Nothobranchius furzeri: one gene and its partner. The protein of the gene in region 1 interacts with the protein of each later gene in a pairwise test. Links are inferred from orthologs where the notes say so. Each region holds a gene or a part of one and is shown in the gene's direction. Other genes may lie near its edges.

The links.
Region 2: the proteins of sgtb (region 1) and txndc12 interact in binary tests that used the Homo sapiens proteins (3 or more experiments, as listed by UniProt). The two-hybrid records come from large-scale screens. The link is inferred for Nothobranchius furzeri from reciprocal best matches to the Homo sapiens genes SGTB and TXNDC12.

The regions. Positions count from the first base shown.
Region 1 is NC_091746.1:65,339,568-65,349,985, forward strand, and holds the end of sgtb (small glutamine-rich tetratricopeptide repeat-containing protein beta), read left to right. Parts: intron 1-5; coding exon 6-110; intron 111-194; coding exon 195-333; intron 334-3,579; coding exon 3,580-3,642; intron 3,643-5,845; coding exon 5,846-5,883; intron 5,884-5,961; coding exon 5,962-6,045; intron 6,046-7,534; coding exon 7,535-7,646; 3' UTR 7,647-7,655; intron 7,656-7,747; 3' UTR 7,748-8,456; downstream 8,457-10,418. UniProt on the Homo sapiens protein: Co-chaperone that binds directly to HSC70 and HSP70 and regulates their ATPase activity.
Region 2 is NC_091751.1:41,993,905-42,004,422, reverse strand, and holds txndc12 (thioredoxin domain-containing protein 12), read left to right. Parts: upstream 1-4,750; 5' UTR 4,751-4,844; coding exon 4,845-4,944; intron 4,945-5,860; coding exon 5,861-5,921; intron 5,922-6,106; coding exon 6,107-6,159; intron 6,160-6,521; coding exon 6,522-6,595; intron 6,596-6,687; coding exon 6,688-6,757; intron 6,758-7,042; coding exon 7,043-7,126; intron 7,127-9,201; coding exon 9,202-9,281; 3' UTR 9,282-10,049; downstream 10,050-10,518. Other genes in the region: transcription factor BTF3 homolog 4, read right to left, coding at 745-946, 1,225-1,338, 3,717-3,770. UniProt on the Homo sapiens protein: Protein-disulfide reductase of the endoplasmic reticulum that promotes disulfide bond formation in client proteins through its thiol-disulfide oxidase activity.

The DNA.
Region 1 (10,418 bases):
TGCAGGGCTGCAGCTCACAGTAAACTAGGGAGTTACACGGAGGCGACCAGCGACTGTGAACGAGCCATTGGGATTGACCCGACCTACAGTAAAGCCTATGGGAGGATGGGGTGAGTTTTGTGTAACTTTACTAAAGTATTTTCCTGGATATATATCAATAAGTATCACCCCTCCTTTTGTTTCTGTGGCTCCAGTTTGGCCTTGACGTCCATGAACAAGTACCCTGAGGCGATTTCGTACTTTAAGAAAGCTTTGGTGTTGGACCCGGAGAATGAAACATACAAATCGAACCTGAAGATTGCAGAACAGAAACATAAAGAAGCGTCTAGTCCAGTGAGTTAACCCTCCTGTAGGGTTCCTGCAAAATCTGACCAAATGTTGTCCCTGGAGCTGTGCAGGATATCAAATTAGTGTTACTGTTTTTTAAGACAATTTTCTCACATTCCACTTTGCAAGCATGCTTTTATTTTGTCATGCATTCCAAATGGCAAGCACTTCCTCCGATGCTTAAACTCGTGTGTCTTGTGGTGTTTAAAGAAGTCCATAAACTGGCAGAAAGAAGGCAAAACACACTGACAGCTCATCAAAAACATGCCTTTTTTAGAACATCATATGGAAATGTTTCCATGAAGTTCTATTTTTTTGCACCAACATACCTGAAATACAGAGTTTTAACATACTGTATACCAGTGAACCTTAACAGACGGCCTGCAGGCCAGACCCAGACCGCTAGACCTTTCTATCCAGCCCCCAAGTAGGGGACTTTGGAGATTAGCAGCAAAATTCATGTCCCACATATCTGTAATTATTTATGTTCTCCAAACACAACTACAATTACAATCAAAACAATTTAGATAGAAAACAAAGCTGTTTTAAATATTAATAAATAAAGACACAATAATAGTTTTACTTTGTTTTAGAAGAGCTTCTGGCCCTCGCTGTGTCAGCTGGAAAAAACTCTGGCCCTTGAACACATTTAGTTTAGGACCCCAGCTGTATACCCTCATCATCTTCCCTAAACAATACAGCTCTGCCACCTGTTGACATAAGTTTGTAACTGCAGCCATCTTAAAACGTTAACTCTGGGTATTTTAGGCTTAAAGCTGCAATGGCAAATCTGCTAAACAAGCTAGCTTTAAACATTCCAGTTGCCTATCATCCCTAGGCCAAATCCCACTGATACCTGAACCCACATTGCCACAGTAAATGAGAGTACTAAACACCAGTCACAGTTTTCTATAGGAATGCAACGATACCCATACTTGGATCTGAGTACTCGCCGATACGATTACCAATATCGATACTTCAACCACACAAAAAAAATGCAATGAATTGGAATACAGGTTTTATTTTCTTCTCTGCTTTCAACAGGAAAAGACTGTGAGGCAGATAAAAAGTAAAATATATGAAAATGTAATGATAATAGAGGGTAAATTGCTTTAAGTAAATTGCTTACTACTACTTGTGACCAATAGCCATGATACTCTATATAAATAGAATATCCCCTGCTTGGTCTTAGGATGATTAATTAGAAGATCCTAGGATTCTTTTAATTATTAAGGGATCATACACACTTCACTTTGATTCAAGAAATAGTCAGGTTTATAAACAAAGTAAGAATTTATTTTACAAACACTTAAGACTTGACAAATGGTTTCAACTATTATTTACTGTGAGTGGATGCGAACTAAGATGGTGTCTGGAACCTATGTGTGAATATTGTATTCAGAATCTGCGTTCTCAGAGCTGAGTTCTGGATGGAAAGAATTTGGTTTGCAAATAAACTATAAAGATGTTATTATCAGAACCACATTCAGACGCTATCTGTGTGTCTACCCGGATTAAGAGACCCTCTTGGTGGATCCGAAAGTGAGAGGTCGGATGACCGCTGGCACCGGAGGGCTGTAGAGGACCGAGGTGCCGGTTCTTTCAGTCCGGAGATGTCTTTCGGGTCACGACAGATGGATGAAACCGAGCATCTTAAAAATTACTCTGAAGGAGTTTGGAGTCAGCTTTGTTCTGCAGGAAAACTATCTTGTTGTTTCACCTTTGCAGGTGCGAAAAAGGTTTAAGGTTTTGACGACGTGTCAAAATCCTTCTGGTTAGAGAGGTGCTAAAGATGGTCGGTCTGAAGCTTGCTCAAGAACTGACTAATTACCCAAAGCCATCTGGTTTTAAACAATTGATATTATGGTTTGGCCAGCCAATCAGAGGCTGACAAGTTTGAGAGATGTTACCAAGAATCTCAGAACACACCCTCTTCGATGGAGACTCCGAATGTGGGCAAAAGGTTAACTTATGTGTCATGCATTAACTTAACTTTACTTGTGAGTGCAAATGTTATGACCTCGTCAAGTAAACATACTAAAACAATCATTGAGTACAGATTAATGAAAAATTTCATTATTTATAATTAACAATAACAAAAGTTCATTCAATGATTATTTTTAATTATAAAATCTTCTTTTCTTCTTCTTGGAATAACGGAGTTTATTTTAAAAGAGTTCCTCTGTGATGGACCTTGGAGGAGAAAATGTTTATTGTTTATCATTTATTATCCCTGCAGTCCAGCTGGTGTGAGGAAGTAGGCTCTGATTAAAGGGGCTACGTGCAGACTCTCCGACTCCTGTCAGGGGAAAATACAGTAAGATGTGTCATAGCCAGGGTAAGTTGACCTGGCTGTGCATTTGACCTGTGGGATCTCAAAATCAGGCCATTTTGTGACGTTACAAATAGAAATGATCACAAAACTAAAATATTAGGTGAACAGAAATGACAAGTTAACAGTGAAGCCCCTTTCAAGCAACTGCATTGGTATCGGTTAACTTTAACTGATACCGATTCCAGTATCGTATCGTGCATCCCTAGTTTTCTACGTCCAATTGTCTTTTGTTTTCTGCGGCTTCTGTCCAACTTCTCAATCAAAAAATGTCTGTTGTTTGCATCTCTTTGTGTCATGGGTAAAGGGGACTCTCTTCATTTGACACTTCAAATGGATTTTTTCTTTGTGGGACTCTGGTAGTTTGTTCTAAAGTTGTAGCAGCTGGTTGTTTCTCTTTGTCCGGCAATTCTGAGCAGAGAACCGCTCACACCAGTGGTGTTCTGTTGCAAGATGTGCAGGCACGTAATGAGTGGAGGACCCAGGTATATGCAGATGTGTGGTGGCTTGATGAAACAGACACCCGGATGGTCCAATAGTTGGTTTCAACCTGAGCCGTGTTATTGGCTGAGGTTGTTACAAGAGAACTACGTCATTATTTTTCTATATTTTTGTCTCCACAAAACATTTAAAGCTAAACTATGTTAGAATGTTATTGAGAGGCATGAAAAAATGTTTTAAGCTAGCTAGCTTGATTGGCAGATTTGCCGTTGTAGCTTTAACCAGATTTGGTATAAAAACTTTGGTCATTAAAGTTTTTAAGTTATTTATTTCAAATGTACAGCTAGCTCTTTAGGATAGAAAATTTAAGTAAACATAGATTAGCAGCACTGTTTTTAACTCATTGTTTTTGTAGCGTTTAGTGGATATGTATTCTTTAATTCACACGTATGGTTGCTTTTTTGAATCTGTGCTCACAGATAGCCGCTGGATTAGGATTTGACATGGCCAGTTTGATCAACAACCCTGCTTTCATCAGCATGGTAAGAGCTCTAACATCTCAGCCAACATTCCTGTTAGCCATCAGAGACAAAACCTTTTGCTCCGAGCAGAAATAATCCTGCCTTGTTAGAAGAAGACACATGTGAGTGTCAACTATGGAGCTAGGATTGGGATAATATTCAATGTAACTTGTACCAAGTTTTGTAACTTGGAACATGTTTCATGACATGTAACTTTGGATTCGTAACTTGTAACTTTAGTTTTCTAACTTGTAATTCTCAATTTGTACATGTGTAATGGAAATGAAGGGTATTACAATTTAATTAAGAACCAGAGATATTAATGATCCATACCTGGCAGGGACCCCATCTCTGGACCTGGGCTTTTAAAATCAGAAGTGATTCTTTTTTTATAGAGAAATTTAAAATTAAACACTGCATGAACTGAGAGACAAGAGAAGAGAGAGAGACCTTGGAATGTTTAAGAAAAATTATTATCTAAATTATTTTAAACAGTTAACAGGACTAACTCTCTAGTGATGGATGTGAATGGAATGCAATGAGGTGGAGTGTGTGTGTTGGTGCGATGTCAGTTCAGAACCTCCGTCTGGAGAAGAGAGTCTGAGTGGGAGATGTAGTTTTGCTCCTAACTGATCGACGTTTGAACTTTAGTCAGGACAGACATTAGACGCCATCTGGTGCCGTTCTACAATACCCGTCAGGGACTTCCATGTTAGATCTGGCTGCCAGGTCCTCGGACCCTCCTCTGGTGCTGGAACCGATTAAACAGCGTCGACAGCACGACAAGCCAGTCTATGGATAGTCTCCGGGTAAAAACGGCAGGTGTTTCACAGCGTCAAAGGGACCCCCCTTTGGGTCAGCGAGTTCAGCTTTTATTCTGAAGGAACCGTTGTTTTGTTGGTAACAGCGACAGGATTTTCCAGCTTGACAGTTCTCAGCTTAAAAGTAAAATGTACAGATGGCCAGTCCGTACTTCACTTAGCAATGATGGACATCAGATGATCTCGAGAGTTGGTTGAATACTGAACACAAAATGGCGTTGTTCTGTTTTATTAATCTTGGTTGTTTACGATTCTTGACGAATCGCAGTGGACAGATTAAATAAACACCACAGAAACTCTGCCACGCTTCAGAATGAAGGTTCTGATTGGATGAGTAAACAATGTGTCATGTCTTGACATTACATGGATCAGGATGTCTAGTGCAGTTAGACCAAAGTCATATTACTCATTAAGCATATTAATCATAACATTGTGATTTCACAGATCGGTCACATGGTTATTAATGACTAACAGTTGTTTTGATTAGGTTCATTAAAATAGAGTTCTTTGATTAATTAAAAGAAAAGTGTTCTTCTTCCTTCTGTCTTCTTGCTGGAATGTAAACATTAGAAGTAAATGCGTGACCTTGGCTGTTCATGCACACTGGCACTGTGTCACAAGGACAGCTGTTAGAGGGGAGAAATGGCTCATTCATCACGTTACAACATGTATTTCTTGTTTTGTAAAATCAAACTTTTATTTTGTACATTTACTACTCATTTTGTGACATCAAACATTCATTCAGAAACATGAAACTTCCGGTTTTTACCTAGCAGACTTCCAAAATAAAAAAAAACAATGTACATGTTTGAAATCAAAACTCTCAAAACACACATTTCATGCTACAGGTACAAACCTCAAATCTACAGTGTTACAAATAATTTTGTCTCAATTCTAGCATCGGTGGGAGGAACTTGGGTGGAACCAATGAGAGCACGAGTCTTAGCTACCAATCACGTTTCTTGAATTCCTGCCCAATCATTGGGAGAGGAGGGCAAAATACGTTTTACAAAATAAAAAATACATGTACAAAATGAAAATTTCCTGTTACAAAACAAGAAATACAAGTACAAATTGAGAATTACAAGTTGGAAAACTAAAGTTACAAGTTACGAATCCAAAGTTACATGTCATGAAACATATTCCAAGTTACAAAACTTGGTACAAGTTACATTGAATATTGTCCCAGTCCTAGCTCCATAGTCAACCAGGTCAAGAATGCTTCTGCGGACAGGCCAGAGGTTCATTCCATCAGGAAAACTCTTTTAAATCTGACATTACCTGCATTCACAGCAAAGACCTATGGGTCTTCCTCATAAAGCTGCCAGCGTGATCAGTAGTAAATCGGTTTTTAACAACACCTGTGGGAGACGCGATGGATTTCATCTGGTTTTTGTTTACAGGCTGCGAGTGTGATGCAGAACCAACAGGTCCAACAGCTGTGAGTGGAGTCTGTGTTTAAGCTTTAGTTTCCGGATGAGCTGGGGTGCATCGACTCACTGTGTCACTGTGTGCTCAGGATGTCAGGAATGATGTCTAATGCCGTTGGAGGCCCCGCAGCGGGAGTGGGAGGAATGTCAGACATTTCCAGCCTGATTGAGGCGTAAGTGCACGGAAACTAAACTCAAATCCATATTCGCTTTACACCTTTACTTGGTCTAGGGGTTTATTTCTGTTGAGAGGCTTTGGAGGAAGGTTTGTCCAGATTTTGTTTCTGGTATTCATCTACTCCTCTAAATCCTGGCAGCAAGGCATCTAAACAATAACTTCCAACTGTCCAATAAACCAAGTAATTATGACCGTTTCTGTTTTTAATTATCTTTTTTTTAATCTTTGTGATAATTCTATCCATGATAAATGATATAGAAATTTACTTTTCTTATATGGTTTTAACACAGATTTATCATTAAGCTGCCTTTTTTCACCTGCATCAAAATATAGACTTCTAATGCAAAGGACTGGAACAGTATGTTTGATTACAGATCCCCAAATGTGCTGACGCTTTCTGGTATCGGACAGATGAAGTCAGAAAAAAGAAAAGAGCAGTCTCATTATAGGGGCTTCTCACTATTATGATACACAAAAACACGCAATTATGAGGAGGTTTCTCATGAAAACAAGTCGTAATGATGAGATCGCTCATAACAACAAAAAGCTGACATCTCACAGGATGTTTGGATTTTGTCCAGCAGAAAATGATGGAACAGTGGAATTTGTAATTTTTCAGAGAAACGTATTCGTCCACCCGTTGGTCAAGCCGTAACGAAGTGTGTGTGTGAAGGAGCGGGCAGTGAGAGAGTTAGCAAGTGTAATTTGTTGAGTCATGCTCCCGTTATTTGGTTAACCTTTGATCAGTGTTACTTTACTTAAGACCTTTCTCATTATTACTAAATAATAAAATACGCTATTAAACAATGTTTCTCATTAAAATCACTTTTATATCACGTTACCCATCCTTTGTAGAAGGAGGCCAATGATATTTTAACTAAAGAAACTCATTATCAGAATTTTTTTTTGGGTTTAAAGGGGACGTATTATGAAAACCTCACCATTTGCCATCTTTTGTTCTGCCATGTGGGTCTCTACTGCCTCAAAAACACTCCAAACTTGAAAAAAATCCATCCATCCATTTTCTGACAGTGTTTGGTTTCAGAAATCATGTGCCTAAAACAAGCCATTTCAAAAACTCCCTGTTTGTGATGTCACAACCAGGGAAATTAGCATAGAACCATTTCTTATGTGCAAGACAGAGCTACTGCTGGAGGAGCTGCAGCTCTACTCCGAACCCCTCCTTGATATTAGAGCTTTTCAGCTTATAACAGCCAGTTAGGGGACAGCTGGGCGTGGCCAGCGCCAGCTCATTTTCTTTAAGTGACAGCACTCTGAAACGCCTCATTCTGGAAGGTACTGAAACTGTTAATTATAAAATAGCTGAAATTGCTTTATGCGAGAGATTTTGTGCAAAAAAACCTTTATGAACATGTTTTGTATCGACCATAAAACTATTAGAAAAAAGGTCATAATTTGTCATCTTTAACTGCCTGTAGTAGCAGAAAACTGATGGATCTCTTCTGTCTCTGCTCTTTATTAAGAGGACAACAGTTTGCCCAACAGATCCAGCAGCAGAACCCGGAGCTGATCGAGCAGCTGAGGAACCACATCCGGAGCCGTTCTTTCAGCGGCAGCGCCGAGGAGCATTCATGATCCTTTCCTGTAATTAAAAAAAATCTAAAACCCAAAACTTTAACCCACTGCTTAAATCTAGGACACATTTTTAGGATTAACATTTAATATTTTTATTGCAGATGCGATTTCTTTTCCCCCAAAGGAAGAGCAACCATACGGCGCGATAACAATCTCTACACCCATTTCTTTGAGTCAAATCCCCGGCACAGCTGGAATGAAGAGACGAGGGTGGGGCTGAAGGCACTTTACTGAGACTGAGGGGCTCCTGCAGAGGAGGAAGAGCCTGGAGACTGGACCTTAAACAAGAACATCCCATTCAAGTAGGGCAAACATACCATAAACACCCGATCACAAAAAGCCAACACCTCATTCTGCTCGTCGACAGAAGAGTGAATATTTTCCTCGAAGTTTTGATGAGCCGATGGTGTTTCGATGTGCTGAAACTGCTGCCTTCACCGCGTTAGGAGCTGAGAATCCACCAGTCTAGTCAAGAGGCATCAAGGGGTGTGGGAGGAACGTTCATTAGCTACAGAGCAGGGACCATTTCAGCTTCGTCTCTCACACAGATATACTAAAGCATACTGTTTATAATATTTAGTATTATTTTTGTAGACAGAGTTGACTGTTTATGAGTAAAAGAGATTCACATCATTGCTTTTCAGTACTTTGAATTAAGACAAAAGTGTGATTGTACAGCGGAGTTTTATGTTGTTACGGCTCTGTCAAAGCAAAAGAAGCCCTTCCCTTTAAGTCACATCAATTGGTTGATTAACAACATGTTCGTACTGATTGTTTTGCATGCAAATAAAGCTGGTGTTTGAGATCTGATGCTTTATGGCAACACATTGGTATGCTGCAGACAGCACATTGTTTTGTCAAAAACAAATAAATGTAGTAAAATTAAACGTCCTGTTTTTGTTTTCCTTAAATAAAAAATGCATCCGAATTTTTTTTATTTAAGGGCACATTATGCAACTTTTTCATTTATAATCACTTTCTTGAGCGAGTATGTGCTAAAATGACCCGTTACAGGGTTACTCAGACCCCAATGCCTCGTGTGACCAGAATACCGGACTTGCAACTTCAGAGTTGCCGGTCCGGACCCTGCTGGTGGAGGGAGCTGAGTGGGGTGGAGCTGGCGTCTGCTTCCAGCCCATTTTCTGCTTGTTTTAGAGCAGAGTGAGTGCTCCTCTAGAAACGAAGGCTAATGAGGAGACATTTCAGCTGTAAGATTAAGGTGTTGAAAAGATGTTCTTAACCACAACAGCACTAATATAAGACATTGATAATATATTTTTAAAAGCCCTGCTGCATTTAAATGGTAAATGGCCTGTATTTGATATAGCGCCTTCTAGAGTCCTGGAACCCTCCAAGGCGCTTTACAACACAATCAGTCATTCACCCATTCACACACACATTCACACACTGGTGGGGATGAGCTACGATGTAGCCACAGCTGCCCTGGGGCACACTGACAGAGGCGAGGCTGCTGAGCACTGGCGCCACCGGTCCCTCCGACCACCACCAGCAGGCAAGGTGGGTTAAGTGTCTTGCCCAAGGACACAACGACAGCGACAGACTGAGCGGGGCTCGAACCTGCAACCTTCCGATTACGGGGCAAGCACTTAACTCCTGTGCCACCATCGCCCCTACACGAGCATCTAAAGATGAAAAGAGCCCATTTTAATGTGATTACACACACATTATAGTTATTAAAATACAGCCAGTAGTTATGTTAAAAATGGTATAAATTACATTCATTGTTTTAGCAAGAATTTAAGTAAATCATTCATTTTGATAATCAAACCATTAATATGGTAAAACTGTAAATGGCCTGTGTATATGTAGCACCTTCTTAGGGTTCTACAACCCCCCAAGGCACTTCACAACACAATCAGTCATCCACACATTTGTACGCTGGTGATGAGCTACGACGTAGCCACAGCTGCCCTGGGGCGCACTGACAGAGGCGAGGCCTGGCGAACACATGCGCCACCGGTCCCTCCGACCACCATCAGCAGGCAAGGTGGGTTAAGTGTTTTGCCCAAGGACACAACAGCAGAATCCTCTGTCCGAAGCTGGGATCCAACCTACAACTCGCCAATTACTGGACAACCTGCTCAACCTGGTGAGCTACTGCTGCCCCCACCCTATAATAAATGCTCTTAATAAATGTATCATTTGGGCAGCATGATGCAAAACTATTCAAAAAATGCATTCATTAGTTTTATGACTCATATTCCCTCAGGAACCGATGATTTTTACCAACATGCCAAAAAACTATTTAAATGTAATCTGTTTGCATATTATCACCACGGGGCAGCAGTTGCTCAGGTGGTAGAGCGGGTTGCCTCATGATCGGAGGGTCATGGGCTCGATTCCGGCTCCCGCCAGGGGTATCCTACTGTTGTGTCCTTGGGCAAGACACTTCACCCAACTTGCCTGTGTTAGTGGTGGTCAGAGGGGCCGATGGCGCCAAATGGCAGCCTCGCCTCTGTCAGACCTCCCCAGGGCGGCTGTGGCTACAAGCAGCTTACCATCACTAGCAGTGTGTGAATGTGAGTGTGTGAAAGCGTCTTTGGGTGTCTAGAAAAGCGCTATATAAGTTCTATGCATTATTATTATTAATTCTGACACATACATTTTTCTTTTGAAGCATCATTGTAGTGGGAAAATGTGTGTTTTGGGTTTTATTTACAGGGTGTATCCTTAAAAAGACTTTAATTATATTTTCTATAATTATTAAATTTTTTTTATTGACTATAATTAAAATAATCCTTAAATCTAGAG
Region 2 (10,518 bases), on another chromosome or scaffold:
TACTTTTCCTCCTGTCCTCCAGTCACTCAAAAACAAAACATGTCACAGAAAATCTGCTCAACTGCACAGAAACATGCTGAATATTCAGTTTGTTTTAAGCAAATTCGACAAAGAACAGATGCTAATGTCTGACACAGATGTGTGTCAGCAAGGTGGGAGTTTAATAAATGTCACAGGAGAACGTTTAAGCCCTCAAGCGCTCTTCAAAAGTGGGAATTAAGATCAAAGTAATGTAAGTAATCCAAATGCATATCGCATCAAATGTATATATATATATTTTGTGTCCAATTGATTTAAATTCACGTGTTTTTTTATTTAACCGTGAAAGAGTAACAGTACACTTATCACAAACTAACAAGAACCGGTTCCTCGGGTCAGGACTCAGATGTCCACGTGTCTTCAGAGACACATCGGGGGACAGCAGAGAAGACGCGATTCCTGTTAAACAGGAAAAGCCTCCATGTCTAGGTTGAGTAAGTCAATGACCGGCAGGACAGGGTGGGTCCCTGACTCACATTCAACAGTACTAATGATCCAACATGGCTCCTGTGTGTAGAAAACTGGCTGTGAGGCCAATTCTGGGTCATCTGCAACTGTTTACAACTTATGGGTTTACCATTTCTTTCCAGTCCTACAGGTGGTGATAAAGCTTTTGCTTTCAGTCGTTCATTTGACAGAAAATCCTCCTGAGTGACTTCAAAGCTGAAATTTGACACAGTTCACATGCGGTTTGCGTGTGCTCACATTGTCGAGGGAACTGCTCGGCCAGCTTGCGCAGACTGCTGAGGCTGTCAGCTCCCAGCTGGCTCAGGATGCCCGGCAGCATCTCCGTCAGCTGTTTGGTCTCAGCGTGGCCCGTGATGGCAAAGGTGTTGGCAGACAGAGACGCCTGAACTTTGGGGTTGTTGAAGTGAATTACCGTCCCATCGTCTTTTATCATATTCACCTTTAAGGGTGGGGAAAACGGGATGGATGAGAGAAGTCAATGCAAAAATCCCACATCTGTATGTTTTTTTTTTTGTTTGTATTCTCAAACATTTTGAGGTAGGTGTAGCCGCTGAGAGCTTTCTAAAAATAAGCCAGATCTTGGGGAGAACCCTTAACTCAGGCTTCCATCCTGTTTTATGCCTCATGGCACATCACTGATAAAAGATTCAACTTTCAAAGACAAAAATATATTTAAAAAACCACGATGGTGTCATCCATGTTCCTTTGATGTCTCACCTCTTCTATCCCAGCAATGTTGTTCACTGCCAGTTTCTTCAGCGAGCCCTGCAGCTTTTTGTCATCAGCTGTCGCCGTTTTGTGAACAACCTTTTTCTTCCTGCGTGCGGTCCCCTAGGAGGAGATCAAATGCATACTGAACCAGGACATTAAATCTAACAGGTTTCCATATCCGGTGTGATTAAGATTCTCAGTCATACATTTCTGACATCACATTACATGTTGTAAGAATGGTTCATTTAACTCATAAAATGGCAAAAACTGATAAATTCTGCATTTAGCTAAAACCACAGTCTCCCTTAAGATTGCCACACAGATTTTTCATATATAATTTGGGCATAAAAGCTTTTTTAAAGACCAAGTCACCCCCTACAAGAAACAAACTTACTCCCACTTCATGTGTGAAAAATGCAACAAATGCTGTTGCCTGACAGACAAGAGGGCGGAGCTGCAAACAAATGCACACAAACATGCTCCCAACAGCATTGTGACATCATATGGTACCAGCTAATGTCATTGTGTACCTCTTAGCCAGTAGCAATAGCAGATTTAAAATCAAATGTAGTGCAGAGTTTTTACCTGACGACAGCGCAACACTGACAGTTTCAGGCAGAATATTTAAATGAATGAAAATGCACTAAAGTGCCAAATTATTGACTACACATGTCTACAGCATGGTTAGACACTCATTTATATATTTTATCAGCAAAAAAGAAGTTGATTTGGTGGTGACTTGCTCTTAAAGCACAGCTTTTCCCCATTCTTCAAAATATATGTGTATATTCCAGCATAATGAGTTAGACGATGTGGCCTAAAATCAATATCACAGTATAGTGAGGCGTTCACCTCGATAAATGGACGATAACTACATGTATACACAGAAAGTTGTCCACTAGATGGGGGCTGTCACGTGTATTATGCGAGTCACGTCACATGACTCGAGGTGGTACAGCTTCTTAAAGGGACATGAACGTGGCCAACCTACACACATCTTTTCATTTTTTTTGTTATCAAATTCATTTACATGGAAAAAACAATATCAACTAGTGTCAGACAGTTCAATAACGATACATTTTTGATATATTGCTCAACCCCAGCATATGCCCACCTGACAACACGTCTGTCAAATCATGCCTTTTTTGAGCTGTATGGCACTTTGATGTGCCAGTTTACCCATCAGATCATCATATACTTTGTGTAGAACAACTGCATGACACTGATGGATGGTCCTATCAGTCTGATCAACATAAGCTTTGTTTTAGTAACTGCATGACATCCTAATAAGCCATTTTAGCCATCAGATCACCACACATTTTGTTTTATCAATCGTATGACACACTAATATGCTCATTTTACCAGTCGGATCATACAGTTTGTTTTTAACAACAGTGTGACTTTGCCATCTGTATGCTGAACTGATAGCTCTTCAGAACATAGCGGAGGTTTAGATGAATGTGCGTGTGCACGAATGTGCATCAATTGCATATATGCTGCTCTGATATGTATCTCAGTACCTGCGCTGCAGCATTAGCTGGCGCAGACTCTGCAAACCGAGCACAACTGACAACACCCCCAGCTGGCTGAGATAGAAATTTGTATCCTTCTAGGGCTGAACGATTTTGGAAAATAATCTAATAGCGATTTTTTTCTTCAATATTGCAATTGCGATTTAATTCACGATTATTTTCTCAAGGGGCTTTTCTCATTTTTCAACAAACGGAAGCAAAGAAAAAAATCTATGTAACTTGTACTGAATATAAACAAGTTTATGTATCTACATATTTATCTACATATCATAACAAGTTTATCTGTCTACATAAACACAAGTAAAAACAAAATTTTGTATTTTAAGGTGCAATGCTTTGCAGCCAGGATGTGTCCCATTTATTGAAGTATTTTGATTTAGTGTTTTTGACGTTTTGTCCGTGCAGAGGTTCTGTAGTTCAATTTCGTTCATTTCTGAATATCTGAATCTTGAAACTTGTTGGATCATGAATCTGTTTAAAAGTTTTGTTCTATAAGTGCCCCCTTTTTAACTTTGAGCGCTCGCCCCTTCAAAGCTCTCTGCACTACCCTGATTTTTACACGGTTTCACGTATTTAATGTAGAAATTAATAACAATAAGGACATTAGTCGCAAAAGGAAGGCCAGGGAAGGACTATATTTTTAATTGATAGTATTTTTTTTATTGTAGAAAATGTTATGTGGCTGCTGGAGCCGGAAGAACTTTTCCCAACAAAATTAAAAATAATGCCATCTAGTGTGTGGCTGAAGACCTGACGGTTAATGCCACAAAGCCACAAAGGTCACAGATGCAGGGGCCAGAGCTTCACCTAACAAAGAGAATGCTGAAGTCAGTAGAAAAGATTTGGCCGACTCCAAATACCTTTAAACTTCTTAAAATAAAATGTCCGACTAATTTTAATCAAGTACTACTAAACATTTGTCATCACATCTGGAACTACAACAAAAAGTCAAGCTTTAAATTGTACCTTTCCTCCTATCCGGACCTGAGCTTGAAGTTTGGCCAGCTTCTCTTGATTCATAATGTTCTGTTGGTTTAATAAAACAAATAAAATAAAAATTAAATCCTCGTTAAAAACCCAAATATACAAGTTTACACCGCCCAACCAGCTAGCCGTTCAGACACAAGAATGCTAGCTAAGCAGTGTGTTGGGCAAGAGCCCTTTCTTCACACCTTAGCAGCAGGTTAGCAGAATTTAGACAAGCCAGTTAGCATTTTTACTCACATGAACCCCATCAAATCAAAGAAATTAATTTAAACAAAGCAAAATAAAGAAATTAATTTAATTAATTAATGAGTTATTTTAAACTTACGTTGGTGCTTAACTGAAGCTAGCTAGTTGAGAAATATCGAGGTAGACTGAGCTAACGCTAACGGTAAAATAATGCCGTGAAATAACTTTGACTATCTATTTAAAGCCTGAGCCACACCAAAAGATACGGCTTTCACAACATCAAATAAAATATTTAGCGCTAATTTAAACGGTATATTTACCTCTGATTGTGAATTAACAGCCCGTTGAACTGTGTTTGCTAGGAACGGAGCAAGACGGATTAGACACCAGTCAAATTAGTAGTCTAACATACAACTTCCGGTGATTATTTTGCCAAATAAATCTCATCCACGTGCAGAAATTGTAATTACTTTACACAAATTTGGGGAAAAATGCTATTTTACTAACGAAATAAATTTAATATATACATAGCAAAGATTTAATAACAAAAACTTAATTACTTACAACTTTCTGCTTTCCTTTGGTTAACTTATTTTTTGCAATTTTCGTCGTCATTTCCGGTTTTATACCAACATTGTTTGTCTAGCTTGACATAACACTGCATTGAAGAGCACGCGGTTGTGTAGATGTAATGTCACGTGAACGCGTCTCTAAATGGGAAAAAAAAAAGCTGGTGGCCAATAGCAAGCGAGACACACGCGCGCGCTACCATGGCTAGCATGCGCGCTGTTAAGATTTTTATTCCGAGACAAAACCTTTATTGTGAAATGTTGCGGTTGCACATCCGGGTCACTGACTATTGAGCTTTCCATTACTACCATTGCCTGCTAGCCGCAGTTGTGGGAAAGAAAGGCAATAAACATGCAACTGTCTGTAGTAAATGTCGCTGCTTTCTCCTTTTTCCAGGTTTTATTGTCTTTTTCGTGTTTTGATGTGGTTGCGGAAGCCGCCAGTGGGAGAGGTGAGTTCATATATAGGAGAAAATAAGTTTTTTAAGCAGGCTGGAGCAGCTTCATTGAAAGTGTGGTAGAAATGAGAGCTGCTGTTCTTTGTCAGCATCCCGGATCACATTGTGTGCGTCCTTGAAGACTAATAAACAGGCGTGTTGTGTCTAGTGTCACTAACTTGTTTCACTTCCAGACACTCATGCTTTATTTCTTGAAAATGTATTTTATGCATTTTAATAAATCTTACACGAAAAAGTTAATTCTACAAGACTACCCCCTGAGCCTGAGATCAGTGGACTCAGTGGTCTCCTTTAAAAAGCAGCTTTCAAACTCACCTGTTCAAGCTGGCTTTTGTATAACTTCTTCTTCACCACTCTCTTTATTCTGCTCTCCCTACCTATTTCACCTTCCTCGTCCACTGATTCCCCTCTTTCCTGTTCACTTTCTTTCTTTCTTTACATTTTTTAATCACAATTGTCTATTTTTTGCTCATTTTAAATATATTTTTAAACATTTTCTAAATTATTTTTTATATTTTTACATTTTTTGTTTTTGTGAAGCGCCTCGTGATTTTTATCTTGAGAGGCGCTATAGAAATGATACTTCTTCTTCTACAAACACCTCATTTGACTTAAAGCAAAAATAAAACAATACTTTAGGTCTGTTAAACCTGTATTGTTTAATTCCGATTCAATTTGATTAAATTAATAATTATCTCCACCAAAACAGAAAGTAACCATTAAGTTTCTCGTTCAATTCTTAAAATAATTGATTTTATTTTACTTAAAAGTTTAGCCTTAACATAACATACCAGTTATATTAGTTATTTGTCCCAGTTCTTTGTATTGATTCTGTATTTAGGCCAGACCCACCCTTGTGTGGAAATTTAACTCCAGTTACACAATGCTGTTGTGCTCATGAACCCTGCAGGATTTGGGGACAATATCCACTGGAGGACGCTGGAAGATGGGAAGAAGGAAGCTGAAGCCAGGTAGCTTCCTGTTTGAAGCCTCTTGTGTAAATATTATCTGGAGGAACAAGAAACATTTTCATTTGGGTCCCAACTCCCTTCCTTTTAAAAATCTTGCATTTCCGGTTTATATAAAGAAAGTCTACGTTGTATATTTACTGTTCTGACTGACTTTGATGCATGTGTCCATGTTGGTGAATTGACAGCGGGCTGCCGATCATGCTCATCATCCACAAGAGCTGGTGTGGAGCCTGCAAAGGTATTTACTTACTGTTTCTTTTTCTGGGAATGCCAGACAAAACTCTGGTGTCCACTGGCACTCATAAATAATACAAGCAACAGTGAAGTTGGTCCGACTTGTGAGGCGTTTGATCTTGGAGTTACTTCCATCTGGTTTTAGTTTTTTTTTTTGCCAATCCCAAAACACAGAAGTACTTCCAGGAAGTTGTCATTTAGCTCAGATTTTCCTCAAAAACAAGGAAGGCAATGGCCCATACCGGCTTTCGCTCTGTGAAAGGCTTCTTTTCAGAATGTTCAAAGTTTTTACTCTAAAACTATCAAGTAGAGATAAGAAGAGTCACATTTTTAAATAACTTTCTTTTCTTATTTGTTACAAATCAGCCCTGAAGCCCAAATTTGCTGAATCCAAGGAAATCTCTGAACTGGCACACAACTTTGTAATGGTGAATGTGGAGGTGAGAAACAGCAATTGGTTTAATTTTGTTTTCATTTTCCTTAAAGCAGCAGTCATGCATCAGGTAGTTAAAGTTGTAACTGTTTATGACAGGATGAAGAGGAGCCCAAGGATGAAGCCTTCAGCCCAGACGGTGGATACATTCCTCGGATTCTTTTCCTCGGTATGAACTCATTTGCATAAAACCCGATTGAGATCTTTACGATAAAAAAGCAGTGGCTCTTCAAGAAGCGACATACTATAGCAGAGCCTGAGCAGCTCTTGGAGCGGGATCACACCGGGGCCTTTAAACATGTCCTGACAGGAATCCCATCGGTGGGACAGCTCCCTGGGAATTTGCTGCTGGTCCCTTTTGCCCTGCTGATCACATTTAAAAGCCTGCATACACTCAAGGAGCATCAATAAACGTGCACCATACTACTAAAAAACCTGTTTGTTCCACTTACAGATCCGAGAGGCAAAGTCCATCCAGAAATCAGCAACAAAAATGGGAATCCCAACTACAAGTACTTCTACAGCACAGCAGAGCAGGGTAGGGGGTTACGTTCTGTGCAAATGTCTCAAACTATTTCCACTTTTTCTTAAGGAAGAGAAACTAAAATCTTTCAATTTCATTCTTTTTATATGGACACTGGCAATTTTTAGGATGATCCCAGCAAGGATGGTGTCATGAAAACACTGTAGGAAAACCAAAAGATGATTTAGTGTTCTAAAGTAAGAAAAAATAGAAATCCAGCAAGTTTACAGTTGGTATCTGTTTGGAAATCACCTTATTGATGTTGTAACGCGAGAAATTAAAACAAATGGTGTCTTTGTATGGTGTTGTCAGTAGCAAGGAGCCTAAAGATTCTATTTAAAACTGTTGATTATTTGAATGGGACTGTTCCTATTAATGAACGTAATTACCCCAGATTTAGCAAAAATGCCTATTTCCATCCGTCGTCCCATAAAACAAATACGCAAAAGTAGCAACAGTATTAATACACCATAAAAAGTCAAATATACAAATTCAATAAGAACAACAGATACAAAAAAAAGGATTGATTTAACCTGTTTTTAACTTGACGCATAGAAGTGCCAGTACTGCCCTAAAATGTTTGATAAATGTCATAAAATACTAAAATTAGAAGTCTTGAAAGATGTCTAAAGGTCAGTGCTAATTTCTGACAAATCATGCTTTCTATAATGGGGTAAGGTGTTTTGAAGAAGAAGAAGAAAATATCATTTCTATAGCGCCTCTCAAGAAAAAAAATCACGAGGTGCTTCACAAAAACAAAAAATGTAAAAATATAAAAAATAATTTAGAAAATGGTTAAAAATATATTTAAAATGAGCAAAAAATAGACAATTGTGGTTAAAAAAATGTTAAGAAAGAGAGAGAGTGAATAGGAAAGAGGGAAATCAGTGGATCCTGAGGAAGGTGGAATAGGTGTGGAGAGCAGAACAAAGAGAAAGTGGCGAAGAAGGTCATACAAAAGCCAGCTTGAACAAGTGAGTCTTCAGCTGCTTTTAAAGGAGTCCACTGAGTCCACTCAGGCTCAGGGGAGGGAGTTCCAGAGTCTGGGGGCCACAGCAGCAAATGATCTGTCACCTTTGGTCTTTAGCCTGGTGCGCTGCACAACCAGTAGGCTTTGATCACTGGACCTCAGGGACCTGCTGGGGGTGTAGGGACTAAGAAGATCACCAATGTAAGATGGTGCTTGTCCATGTAAGGCCCTATAGACCAGAACCAGGATCTTGAAATGAACTCTGAAGTTTACTGGCAGCCAGTGAAGCTGGAGGAGAAGCGGGATGATGTGGGTGTGTTTGGAGGACTTGGTCAGAAGCCGAGCACAGGCATTCTGAACCACCTGTAGACGGTTCAGGGAGGTTCTGCTCAGACACGTGAAAAGAGAGTTACAGTAGTCTAAGCGTGAGGAGATGAAGGTGTGGATAACTGTCTCATGTTCAGAGCGGGACAGAATGAGACTCAGCTTAGCAATGTTCCTGAATGTTCCCAGCTCCTGCATCCTTTAGAGGAGACCTATTGTAATTTTTTTAAAAGACATGATAGCTCTGTGGTCGATATCAATTATAAAATCCCTTTCACATAGTCATCTCAGTTTTGACATTTTCAGTACTTTCCAGAATCAGTCGTTCCTCAGTTAAAAAAAAAAGAAGCTGCATCTGGTCACTCCCACCCATCCCGATTGGCTGCTGTAAGCTGAGAAGCTCAGCTACCTTGGAGGGCCTTGGGATATTTTCATAATTCAAAGGAAAGTTTTCCTTTCCACTGTCACTACATGCTTCCGTAGTATGAGGATTGCTGTAAAGTCACTGACACAAGTCAGTGACTCGATACAATATTCTGGGTTTCCTTAAATAGGAACCTTAACTAACTGGCATATTGAACAGAACTAAATCCACCGATAAGTAGGTTCAGTTGGAATGTTGACTTTGTAAAGTGCCTTCAGACTACTCTTGTGATTTGGCTCTCTATAAATAAACTGAATTGAATTGAAATAACACTAAAATTGGTTTTAGAATTTTAGACAGTATTTTATTCTAGCAGATATTTGCTAGATAGGCCAACTCTATGATTAAATGGATTTTCCTTGTTTTGCTCAGTTTGGTCAGCGATGGAAGAAGCTCAGGAGAAGCTGACGGGCGACGCCTTTAAACAGGGTCACACCGGAGACGAGCTGTGAGGAGACAGCGGAACGGGGAGCGCCTCCAGGCTGTAAGGGCTACACATCTTCTCCCTCCAACAGGCCCTCTTGATGTTTAGAAACCCAGTTCGGTCTCCTCTGACTGAACCAAACTCACTTTTGAACCACCGGTGCTTGATTTCTTTTTTTCTCGTGTCCTGCACGGTTTTCCCTGCTCTGTTAGCTGTCATTGTTTATTATAACTGTACGTTACTGACTAAAATGCCATATTATACCTGATATCTGTAGAGGATTTTAATCAGCTCTAGTTACTATAAATGCTTTACTCCCATTTGAGTACAACGTTTGGTTCGGACTCCGAACCCACAGAGACTCCGACCGTCGGAGTTTCCGTGACTTGAGGGAGTCTGTGAATTTTCATCAATCAAATATTTAAAAATAATGGTATGTTTTATCTTTTTAAATACCAGATTATTTAGTCTTGACTCAATCATAAAATTGGTTGCACTGTCATTGCAACCTTATAAGTGACTTATTAGCAAGGTCTTTATGAGTTTAAAGCTGAACAATATGGAGATCACAATTTTTTAGACAGCCATAAAATCAGTTATCTTAGCTTTCATGAGTTGAGTACCAAAACCATAAAATTTTTCTGTCTTTATTCAGATCAGTGATTTACTGTAATATTTAGACATTAATCTAGTTTTCTTTCCTTAAAGGGTCATCTCATAAAAAAGGGTTTCTTTAGAAGAGTTGCATTGTTTTCTTGGATTAATGTGAAAGCCAGATTTCAATGTCCACAAAAAGAAACGGGCCTAAAGCCTCCTGATGAAGGCCTTAAAACTGTAAGAACGGTTAATAACTTCCATTTTTAAAGTTAGCAGGATTTTCCTTCTCTCCATCTGTGGTTCTTTATTAGCCATTAAATATTAACAACTAAAGCAATGTGCTTCCAAAAATCCTCTACAGTATTGTGTGGTAATATTCACAATATGACCTATAATTTACACAACCAAGTCTTTTAAATAACAAGTCCTGCCATATTTACGTGTGTCGTTTCTGTTCTGCATGTGATGTAAAACTCTTACATGCCTTTTTAATCTTCAATTAAAGAAGAGTGGATGTTGGTTTAGTGAATTGATGTATTTTATACAGCCAAGTGTGTAAATTAAAATGTTGTAACGAGTGATTTTGAGTCACATTTATGAGCAGAGTTCATTGAAGACACAGAAACGATCATTACAATCGATCAGATTTTATTGTCTTCGGCAACAGC